2 linked regions of the Kluyveromyces lactis genome follow. The protein of the gene in region 1 purifies or fractionates together with the protein of each later gene. This does not show direct contact. Links are inferred from orthologs where the notes say so. Each region holds a gene or a part of one and is shown on either strand. Other genes may lie near its edges.

Region 1 (5,884 bases):
TGGTTAATACTATAACCAACTAAACGTATATATAAATAATCTATGTATATCGTTTCCAAAAAGTTTTCTCTAGTTTGAAAAGAATTATATACTATATTTTTGTAGATATTTTTCATTATATCGCTTTTTACATAGAGAAAAAATCGATTCCCAAAATTTTCAAGCCGTTTTTTTTTTTCCCTTTCGCTGTCTGTGAGCATTTCTCTGCTAAGTTTTCTGTCCAATCCAATGATAATTGTTTGTGATTGATTATGTTTAAAGTATTTTTTTTTATTTTTCGAAAGCGATGTTTTTCTGAAGGTTTTCTATCCTAAGCGCACTGGAGGATGCGTGTTAAGGGCGATATTCCCGACGAAAAGTCACTAAGTACGGGAAAATATCCATATGTGCGGAGGTTTATGAGAAGACGGCACGTTCTTCGATGTGATTGGTCAGAACTCCATATCCCAAAAACATCAATGTCATTCACGTGACTGGGACTTGTCACGTGAATGTTTTCCTTCTGGGAAAACGTAAAACGTCTTTCCATTCATATCCATATGGCAAAAGCCATTCAAGAAAGAGTAAGTACATGCTAACGCCTAGAATAGAATTGACCATTCTGGTCTTAGTTAATCGGCTAGAAGGAAACAGCTCAAGAACAATGGAAGATGTTAGGTACGGGTTTCTCAGTACACTGGACCATTTACCATGCGATGTGATTCGCACCCTCTGGACTATACAATCATTGGATATAGGTGATACTAATAGAGATGGATGTCATTCAGAAGAGATGCTGCGACAAGCGCAACATCTCTTAGAGTTAGTACGGCAAGAACATTCACGGCTCAATTTTGAAAAACAAGAATTGGAGCGATTCTCTCAGATTAAGGCAAGGTACGATAGTCACTTGAAGAAACAACCGAAATTGAAACCTTTGCCTCATCACAAACCGATCAAGATTAAGATCACTATGAAATCAAGGTACCCAGAGGCAGAAAGGGAACAGAAACTGATTCAGCAAGAACATGTGAATCATGATAAGACGCACAAGCCAGAGACAGAGACGTACTGTTTCTGTAGAGATGTGTCGTATGGACCCATGGTTGCTTGTGATAATGAATCTTGTGCCATCGAATGGTTCCATTACCCCTGTGTAGGATTATCAGCCGCACCCAAACCCAATGAGAAATGGTTTTGTAGTGACATGTGTAGGAAACAGTACTCCAATCATCGGAAAAAGAGCAAGAGAAGAAAGCGTTGATGAAGACCGCGGAGGCTCTTCAGTGCTTCTCCAGAAAAATAACTTGCAAGAAGGAAGCGCGTGTAATTATTATTTATTCAAATGCTAATATTTTCATATTTAAAGATAGTTGTCAAAACAACAGGAAATATTATGAACCAGCCGATGGGATAGTGAAAGAAAGTGTAAACACTTTCTTGAGTACTCCAAAACTAGTCTATAAAATTACAGCATGCAAAGCTTTTTACTCAATTCGACTCTATTAGAGTTGAGGAGTTTATAAGTCCTTCTTCAAAGTACCCAAGAAAGCGTGCTTTTCAGCTGGGGTTTGGAATCTACCCTTACCGAACTTAGAAGCAGTGTCGATCCACTTCAAGGTAACTTCTTCCAAGGCCTTTCTGGAGGTGTTGGTGTACAAGGACTTTCTTAAAGTAACAACTCTCTTTCTGGTACCTGGGATAGAACCCTTCAAGATAACGAAATCATTGTTGATAGCACCGTAGTGGACGAAACCACCCATTGGGGTGATGGTCTTCTTGGTTCTGTCGAATTCGGTAGCGGCGTTAGCTTCGTCGTCACCCTTACCAACTCTGTAGACCTTGTGGTTAATAGAGGTTCTGTGGTGGTAACCTCTTTGACCAGCTCTAGCAACGGACCACATAACGTGGGCTGGATGCCAAGCACCGATACAAGCAACCTTTCTCAAACCTCTGTGGGTCTTTCTTGGAAGCTTCTTGGTACCCCATCTGTGGGTAACACCTTCGAAACCGTGACCCTTGGTAACGGCAACGACATCGATCATTTCGTTTTGTTCGAAGACAGAGTCAACGGCAACGGTCTTTTCGAAGTGTTCCTTAGCCCAGTCAACCTTGTCAGAGACAGAACCACCGTTCAATTGGATTTCAGCCAAATGAGCCTTCTTTTGAGACAATGGAGTCTTTCTGACTTGGGTGTGGACCAAGACTCTAACAACAGAAGCGTACTTCTTGATTCTGGCCAATTCTCTGTCGACTTGGGCACCGTTTTCAGCGTACTTAGCAGAGTACTTGGTGAAAGCCTTCTTCTTGGACTTGTACCAGTTCTTGTAGAATCTTCTCTTGACTTCGTCGGACAAATGTTCAGCCCAGACGGTGGTCAAGGATCTCAAACCTCTTGGGGTTTCAACGTAACCAACAACACCGACAACAACGATTGGTGGGGTGTCAACAACGGTAACAGCTTCAACAACTTCACGCTTGTGGAACTTGGAACCTGGTCTGTCCAAGTCTCTAACGATAGTGGACATACCAGCCTTGTAACCCAAGAAAGAGGTCAAAGCAACTGGCTTAGTTTGGTCGTCCTTTGGGAAAGACTTAACTCTACCTCTAACAGAGGCAGCTCTCTTTCTTGGCAAGAAACCTAAATGACCGTGACGTGGAGCTTCGTACTTTCTGTGAGACATTGTGTATTAATATTAACTAGCTAGAGCTGTGGTTACCGTTCTAGAGTTTTGCGATGGGGAAGGGAAATAAACAAAGTAGATACCATTAAACACTTTCAACTTTACATATGATGAGATGAAGAACTATTAAAAATTTTTCACTTGATTTTTTCATGTTTTTTAAATAGTCCAAGCTTCGATGCGATGAGATGTGAAAAAAATTTTTTTCTTCAAGATCGCTTGGAGATGAGAGACGAGAAAGTTCGTGAAAGGTGATTTAAATAGGAGAAAGTACTATCATTAGATACGTCCATAGGTAAAAATACAAAAATCACAGAAAGACGGGGTAACAGTGCATATAGAATCCGCCCACGTGACTTGTTCTTTTTTTTCTGTTTTTCCCCTCTGAAACGCAGTTTACCCCCCATTTATCGGTTCGCCTTTGGTCCTGACGAAATGACGGCGGGAGGCACCTATCTTTTTCAAATGGTAAACAAATGACACAACGATGGAGCCAACAAGTATTAAACAAAAATGCACGGAAAAGAAGAAAACCACAGTGAAACTACATTCAACTGTTATCAATCACTAACGACAACAACAAAAACAGAGACGTGTGCAGATCAACACGATTTATTACCACTACGTAATGTGACGAACTGAGATCTCCAAAAAGTCTCACCATCAAGTTGTTCCTCACACCATTCGGAAAAACCTTACGAGACGAATCCCGGAAAAACAACACTGCCGTTTTTCCCGCTTCTTCCTACGACACCCACTGCGCACCTCCGCTAGAGCTGGATACTCAAGCTGTTTTATTTCTGTCAAATCTCCTTCTCCAACCAGTCGGAAAAACTTTTCTGGCTCCCCATCGAAACAACAGGTCGCCCCGTACAGATCTTTCCGAAAGGAAAAGCAATAAGCGAAGAAAAAGAAAACACACCCGGGCATCAGCCCGGGTAATACATAGGTCTCGTAGATGTTTTTCTTCTTGTCCCCCCTTGTGATTCTAAGAGAACCATAGAAAGAAAAAACAATTTTATGATTTTTTCGGATTCCCGCCCCACTATTCTTTGGAAAAATAACCGTTTTCTACTGCACATTCTAGCTGCGGAAAGGAGAACCACTTTTCCGAGCAACCTCTTTTGGCTGTTTTTCTCTTTTTCTGCAAATAATTACAGTGAAAGCTCCATATTGTTTTTCTTTTAGATTCAGGTAACCAACCACTGGGAAAAGTACCGGGGTCTGGTTGGAATCTCAGTTGGATGACTCTGAATTGACACTGCTGACACGCTTGGAAATATAGTATTGTAGCTCTATTGTCTGTGGTACCTTAGATAAATCGGAGTGGGTTCACCTTTCCGGTCCAAATTGTTCGACCACAAGAAACGGTGCACCGGCGTGTTAAATACCGGGTTCTTGAAATTCATATATTGCGAGTTTTCCATGCTTCCTGGTGTCTCTTTATCTGAATATTATATTCTTTCTGAAAAGATTTGTAAATTATATAACGGTTGAACAAACTACAAAAGAAATAGTAGTTATTGTTCAAAGGTCGAAGGCTTTTTTATATATAAGAGCACCATAAGTGTATCTTTGTTCAATTAATCCGTTTGTTGATTTACTTCTTCTACCATCTAATATATTTCTTATCTGCAAGGTGATAGTAACGACTCACATCTAACATATCCTTTACAATGATATCCAATAGTTTGGACGATACGATTATTATCCGGAAAAACCTTTTGCTGCTAGATAATGTTACGAATTTGAATAAGCCAGCTATCGATTATTTCCATCACAATTTCCAAGAAACTTATGCTATCTGTGAGACTTGGAAAGTTTTATTGAAAGTCGGTAAACATAAAGTGCTCAGGTTGCCTAGTTGTTCCCAGGAAGATGAATCTGATTATAACTACTATTTGAAAAGACTACACCATTGTCTATGGAGGCGTTGGTCGATGGAGAACTTCCAGTTGAACGGTAATGAAAACAAGTACGATCCTTTACGTATTAACTGGAATAAGGAAAATGATATGACTGTACTATATGGGCCTCAGTTATCGGATGATTGTGTTGCTGCTACTCAGTTGATTCCTAAGAAGAAATCGTCACCCGATTCTATGTTCTCTGCTATGGACATGGACTCCGACTTGGAGTCTTATTCTCAATCGTATAACAATTACTCTTCTTCCCCAACCAATTCAGATGCTTCATCCATCTTTGAAAATAGCAAGCCTATTTTGGTAAAGACTAATTCTTCTGGCTTCGGTTCTCCACCCTCCCACCACTCGAACAATAAGAACATAAGGTTCGATGATAGTGTTCGCACAAGAGAGATCGATCATAGTGGTGTCATTTATGATGGAACTAGTGCCATCAACGATACATGGGCCAACGAAATGATTATGAGGCAGGATTGCTTCATTCTTGATGTCCACGACAGTGACGAGGAAAACGATGAAGATTACGAAATGGAACTGTAATCTGACTCGCCCAAGAAATCTGACCTCTTAAAAAATCCCATCCACTAACACAGCATACTACACGAAATCCGTCAAAGGTCTGGGATCTTTACGCATTTGATACCAAAAGATTGTTTTTTTCCCTGTGATTGAGAAATATAGACTAATAATAATGGCATTTTCAATTCTCATCACTGAACTTTCACCGCAATAATAGTTTCGATCATGGGTTTTTGTAACTATTTCCACCCTGTTTCATATTCCTTTGGTCTATTTCCTTTCCTACTTATAGTAGTGTCTCTCTCTCTGCGCCTGCGCTAGTAAGAGCCTTTTCTTTCAGGTTTGGTAGCTATTACACCTATTAATTATATATCCTTTTTAATGAATTAACGACTATCATAATATTACATCTTCTTTAAATCTTAAGCAAAAGAGACATGTGTTTCTGTCCTCTTTTTCAGGTGTTGTATTAATTATATGTTATTAGTATACATGCTTTTAATTGGAAAGCAATCAAAGACAGAAGAAGAATCCCCCAAAGTTAACCATAAATGGAAGATAAGAGGGAAAAGAAAATTTGATGATAGAGAGATGAGAAAACAGATATATATTACCGTTTAGGCATACACTATGAGAAATCTTTTTTGAAGAATTTATGCTCCATGGCTTCTTTTGCAGTTAATCTCTCTTGGTGATCATAACGTAGTAAATGGTCGATCAAATCAATTATTTCGTCCACAGCCAACGGCGTCTTATCATTGGCGAAATAGCTCCATG
Region 2 (6,078 bases), on another chromosome or scaffold:
AATAATAAAATAACTCTGATCTTAATAAGATTTGTTATAGATATATCCACCCTTATATATATCAATATCCATAGTTTAAAATGTTTAAGTCATTGCAATTACATTGTTCATTTTTGTTAATATCAAAATCTTTCAAGCGATCTCTAATTTCAAACAGCTTCAATACCATCAGAGGAATATCGTCAAATGGAATTTTTTGCAAGAAGTATCACTATGAACGTATTCTGAATTTACCCGGATTATATAATATTTGGTCACGTGATTCAGGAAATCTTTGTGTACTTATTTTGTGCCCTAATGGCAGACCAGTCTCTCATGGTTAGATTGACTATTCTTTCTGTTTTATGGTTTTTAGTTTAAATAACTGGAAAAGTGAAAAATTTTGAGGTAAGTTTCTATCTCATCACGAATACTTTATTATCCGTTACAAAGCTTTTAATTAGAGTTAGAGACATAACCAACAAGGATTCGATTTGTAGTGTATCAGGAACAGGAGTTCCTGTTCGCAACGTATTCTGTCTTTTTTACTGAACTCAAACGGAAATCAAATTCCTCTTCATGTCGGGAAATGAACAAGTAAAAGGAACGACGAAGATAATGACTGTCTGTATGGAAATACCATCATTTGGATTGTTTTTTTTTTGAGTATATCGATTATGATGACCGCTGTCGCCCCAAACGGATTTCGAAAATATGAACGATTCGACTAGCATTAGCCAAACACTGAAAATTCTGATCAATCGATTACTTTATTAAAATAAACTGTCCAGGCAATACAGTACAAGTTATATCTTCTTGTTTGTTTGACTTTCTTCATTTCCGGATATATTCGGGTAGTCGAAGTGTACGTTAGATGTGTCAGTGGATTACTCGGCATTCTCTATCTTAAATATATAGACCTATTAATGATGAACTAAAAGTTTCCATGCTAATCATGAATAAAATTCAAAATTTTAAAGGATTAGAAACACGCTTTTTGTTATCTCTAACAGTCCTGAATACGTTTATATATAGCATTAGCTGTTCCATTCTTGTACTTGTAACTTGTGCTTTTCGGTAGTGTGTGTTTTTTTATTTTTGGTGCCGGTATCTGAATTGTAAACACGTCTTGAAAAGATGTCAATAGAAATAAAAGTGTTATCTTAGGACTAAAAACGTAGGATCCTAGATTATACAGAGCTCTGAGACAGTGAACCACAAATCTAAACCGTTAGCGATACACACAGGGCCTTTCTGAAAGGGATTTCTTCTGCTTCTATTCCTCCTTTTTTTGTTACATTTTTTTGATTCCTTATTTATACGTGCATTCATGGACGCCGAATCTGTTGAACCCTTTCTGGTTTACCTACCGATCCCACAGAGAGTTGTTGTCCTTGTGTTATTAGGGTTATGGCTATGGACATGGTTCCTGAAGGTATCAGTATCCTACTACGACGTGTCCAAAGTAATTGTATCCAATGAGTCCACGGGACTACCTTACTTTAACACATCCACGAAAATACACCAATCAAGCCTGAAACTGTTCAAGTCAATCTCTAGAGTCATTATACCGTGGCAATTGGTATGTATAATCTTATTCCAATACTCCTTCACTAATAACGTATCCAACAAATTGCTTTGGTTTTTTTTGAATGTTTCACCACTACTGGAGTTGTTTTACATATTTGCAATGATATTAAGGTCATCAGCAATGGTCGCAAGGTGCTTTAAAAGAATACTTTGGGTAGCTGACATTGAACCAAAGCCGTATAGGAATAACTATATTATAATTAGTGATACTTTGACCTCGTACTCTAAGCCATTGGTGGATTTAGCTATTTATGCCACTTTCCTTTTCCATGATCCAACAAACGTCAAGTGTCAAGTGGAAAGATATGAAAATGCTATATCGTTAAACATTGACGTACTTGTTGGAGTCTTGCCCTCATTGGTCAGAATGATTCAATCGTTAAGAGAATTTACAAGAGGAAGGTCTCAGAAGAAAGATGGTTCACAATTGTTCAATGCTTTTAAGTATGCTGGTAATATTCCTATCATGCTAGTTACAGTCTATACAAGATATTACAACCTGGGCCCACTTGGAATGATGTATTGGTTCATGTTTTGGAATTCCGCGTATTCATTCTGGTGGGATGTGACCATGGATTGGAAACTAGAGCTGTTCGATTTTGTGAATGGGGACACTAGTGTCAATAACAATAATAGTAGTAACAAAGCGGACGGTCTTTTAAGAAGCATTTTGTTGTACCGGAAAAATGCGTGGTATTATAGCGCTATGGCGCTCGATTTTATTTTGAGATTCGTATGGTTCTGGGAGTATATCAGTGGGCACTCTGTATTTTATGGGGAATTAAACATCTTTTGGTTACAAATTTTAGAGATAATCAGAAGATGGATTTGGTTATTCTTTAAAGTCGAGGTAGAATACATTGCAACAACAGAGGGGGGGAAAATGGATGAATGAGATGTTTAGAAAGAGAGGAAGATAATAAATAAAAAAAAAAGGTTAATTACTTCCTACGTTTATTATTGTTGGCCTTTCTTTGATTTTGTCTTCTCTCGTTCTTGGTCAAGTATCTGAACTTCTTATTCTTTTTACTCTTATTACCAGATTTTTCTTCAACTCCCAAAAACTTTGCATATTTCTTCGCACGTTCGATGCTTTGATCTAAAATTTGTTCCGATTTCTCTAACTTCACATTATTTAATTCCGCAAGGTACTCAAAATTGTCATTGGGCTCTAAGGGTTCGATGTCTACCGTAGTATCATCTAAGTAAGTCTGTACATATTTCTTTAAGATCGGTTTCACACTAACAGAGTCAGAATCCTCTTCTTCTTCTTCAGTTGCATCTCCGTTATCATCGGAAAATCCCGTCCATTCTTCAGCCTCTTCATCGCTTCCCTGTTTCCCATTTTCGGCTTCTTCGTCGTCGTCCTCTACACCGACATAATCACCGACATCTTTCATCGCCTGTTTAAAATCTTCAAGCTGTTTCTCAAGAGCCTTTTTTTTATCTGCTCTGATCTTGGCCCTTTCCTCGAGCCTAGCTTTTCTCTCTTGCTCTTGGATGAACTCCTTGGCTTTCTTTTGTCTATCAAGCTTTCTCTTATGGAACCCAGTTAAGTATTCCAACCGTGAGTCCTTATCGAACTTTACCTCATCAGCACCGAATTTCTTAGCAGCTTTCTGCTTGTAAGATTTACCACCGGTAAGAATCTCACGATTACTCTTTGCCACCATTTTCACTCTATATCCACACTGCTACTCTGTATCTTCTGCAGAACTTGAACCGGTCTCAGCACCACCTCAGTAAGTGAAAAGCCTATCTGCTTTCTTCAGCTCATCGCATCAGCAAGTTTTTCCGTTTTAATGCTTTTTCCAAATATTGAAACTTCGAGATACAGAAAGAAATACATAGATAACTATAACATGATTGCATAAGGGCAATCTAGCCGTCCTGACCTAATTTATCTAGACCAATTCATATGCTCTGCCATGCACTAAGTAGAAAACAAATCTAGGCGTATACCTGTGTAGAGGATCATTACTTAACTATTCAATTTCTGTCATTCTGTGCTTTCCTATCTATGTCTTTCCCATAGCTTTAATTTTCGGGTTCTATGAAATTTCAGTTCCAAGTTGCAGTGAAAGAAAGATATTTATACTCACTATACAGATGCGCTGTCAAGATAGACACCGGAGGTACCATTCAGTAACATCAGTGGGATATACGATACGCGTGATTATTCATAGCAGCCATGACTATGCGTAACGAATTGATACAGTTTGTAGGACAAATTCCACCGGTGACCCGAGGAATATGTCTCTTAATGGTGTTAATATGTTTGATCCAACGCTTGAACGTATTACCGTACTATTTCAGCGATTTCAAATGGTCTTTACGTGGTGTATTGTTCAAGTTCCAAATCTGGAGGTTGTTCACTAGTTTCCTCATCTTACCAAACGATGCCATGAAAGCATGTTTCGACCTATACGCAGTATACTCGAAATCGTTACATCTCGAATTAGTGCACTTCAGCAACAAATCCATCGATTATTTGTTTTACATATGTTTCAACTTTGCATTGATCGTCGTGCTCGTAGAAGCATGCCAGATCTCATACCCAGTGTTCACTAACGCATTCATAGGAATGATCCTATATACGTGGACTCTGGACAACAGCAACGTGAAGGTAATGTTCTACGGATTATTCCCAATCTTGGGTAAATATCTATCGCTAGTGCATCTTTTCGTTTCGTTCTTATTTGATGACGGGACCGATGGTTACAGCAGGTTTTGCGTCACAATGGTCGGGTTTTGTGCTGGATACGTTTACTCCTGCCTAGACACATGGACTTACGGTCCCTTGTACGGTTATCTGATGGGGAAGGACCCAGCGTACGGATTCTCTGGAAGAGGTCATTTCAGATCACCAAGATGGTTCTCCTCGATCATTCTATGGATAGGACGTGTCCTATCCATCACCTCCAAACCCGTTTCGTCATCAAACAGGACAGACCCCGTGACCAGAAGAAGGTTGAGAACCCCGTTAAAGAAAAGCACTTTCGCTGGAACTGGAAATAGATTAGGGACCAAAATAGACTGATTAAGGTACTAATAATCCGACATACTGTTATCTATATTATCTACATCTCCCTTGTGTATATATCATTTGTGTTATTTTATTTACCCCAGGTTTAATGGAAATATGTCGACAATGGAAAATTGATTTTGTATGATGGTTCTGCCTAAAAGCCCGTTATGGCGAGAAAATAGTTGATGATCAAAAAGTGTTGGAGCAAACGAATGACCACAGGGACCAAGAGTGGAGGTGAAGCACGTCTTGGGTACAGGATTGCAGAGAGTTACTGGTACAGGTTCGTTGATGATCACTCGGTTCGGACGTATATAACGGAATGGGCTCTTGTGTAATGAATGATCAGCAATTCGGATTTCTCGAGTTTCAGCCTTTTATGAATAAAACCATGTACAAATGAGCTAGTATTATTTAGTATATATATAGCTGCATTTCAGAAGTTAAGGACACCTTTCGCTTTTAATAGGTTTGTTCCGAAAATGGTTTCCTTGCCGGTTTAAACAACCAAAATCATCCTCAAGAAAGCGGAACACGATATAGAATAAAAGGTTTCAATTGTTGTGATATTTATTTTATTTATTAGTTAAATACCCGTTGTGAATACCAACACCAACAGTGACGATGAGAAGTATGGCATTTAGAAGCAGTGCTGGTATTAGTATGGGGATGAGACGCATGGGTCAAGGTAACAAGAAAAGTTCTATATTGAGACAGATGTCTGGTAAGATGCAGTATTCGGGGTATCAGAAGTTCCCTTTTGAGACCGGGACTAACGATGAGTATATTGCAGAAAGACCTAATTCGTATTATCAGGAGAAGAGACCTGGGTTCAAAGGAGCCACTTACTCAAAACAACAGGATATGCCATCCTTACCGATTCCGGAGTTGAAATCGACTTTGGACAAATATTTGAAGTCTATTAAACCGTTTTGTCAGACGGATGCTGAATATGAGAAACAGATCCAGTTATGTTACTCATTTCTTTCAGACCAAGGCCCTGCTTTGCAGGAGCGGTTGTTGAGTTATTCTCAGGAGCGGAGAAACTGGATGCAAGAACTATGGGATAGTCAGATTTATCTTGGCGATAGGTCACCTGTGGTTCCTTTTGTGTCATATTTTTATGGTCATAAGCCTTTACCAACTAGTCACCGTGCCATCGATGGCGACATGCTTGTTAAGGCCACGGCGATTATTTCTAGTGTGGTGAAGTTCGTGGAATCCTTGAAAGATGAAGCCTTGCCAGCAGAAGTGGTGAAGGGCAAACCTTTCTGTATGAACGGATTCCAATATATGTTCAATAATTCAAGGGTTCCTCAATTCAATATCGATACGAACCATTTTTACTCGATCTATGAACATGGCTACTTGACGGTTGCCTACAAGGATAATTTTTTCAAAGTTTATACACACGATAAAGCTGGGGCAGTCTTGTCCAACGCAGTAATCTACCAACAGTTGAATCAAATTGTCAACCATTT

The links. Proteins that work in one complex are often made in the same cells at the same time.
Region 2: the proteins of RPL3 (region 1) and RRP17 purify together in Saccharomyces cerevisiae (affinity purification with mass spectrometry; 3 studies listed by BioGRID). This does not show direct contact. The link is inferred for Kluyveromyces lactis from reciprocal best matches to the Saccharomyces cerevisiae genes RPL3 and RRP17.

What each region holds. Positions count from the first base shown.
Region 1 is NC_006042.1:1,520,674-1,526,557, reverse strand, and holds RPL3 (60S ribosomal protein uL3), read right to left. Parts: upstream 2,664-5,884; coding exon 1,500-2,663; downstream 1-1,499. Other genes in the region: YNG1 (Yng1p), read left to right, coding at 572-1,243; KLLA0_F16489g (uncharacterized protein), read left to right, coding at 4,340-5,128; casein kinase 2 catalytic subunit CKA2, read right to left, coding at 5,736-5,884. UniProt on the Saccharomyces cerevisiae protein: Component of the ribosome, a large ribonucleoprotein complex responsible for the synthesis of proteins in the cell.
Region 2 is NC_006037.1:184,911-190,988, forward strand, and holds RRP17 (rRNA-processing protein RRP17), read right to left. Parts: upstream 3,243-6,078; coding exon 2,511-3,242; downstream 1-2,510. Other genes in the region: ERD1 (Erd1p), read left to right, coding at 1,310-2,464; DFM1 (Dfm1p), read left to right, coding at 3,761-4,609; carnitine O-acetyltransferase CAT2, read left to right, coding at 5,222-6,078. UniProt on the Saccharomyces cerevisiae protein: Essential protein involved in ribosomal RNA processing.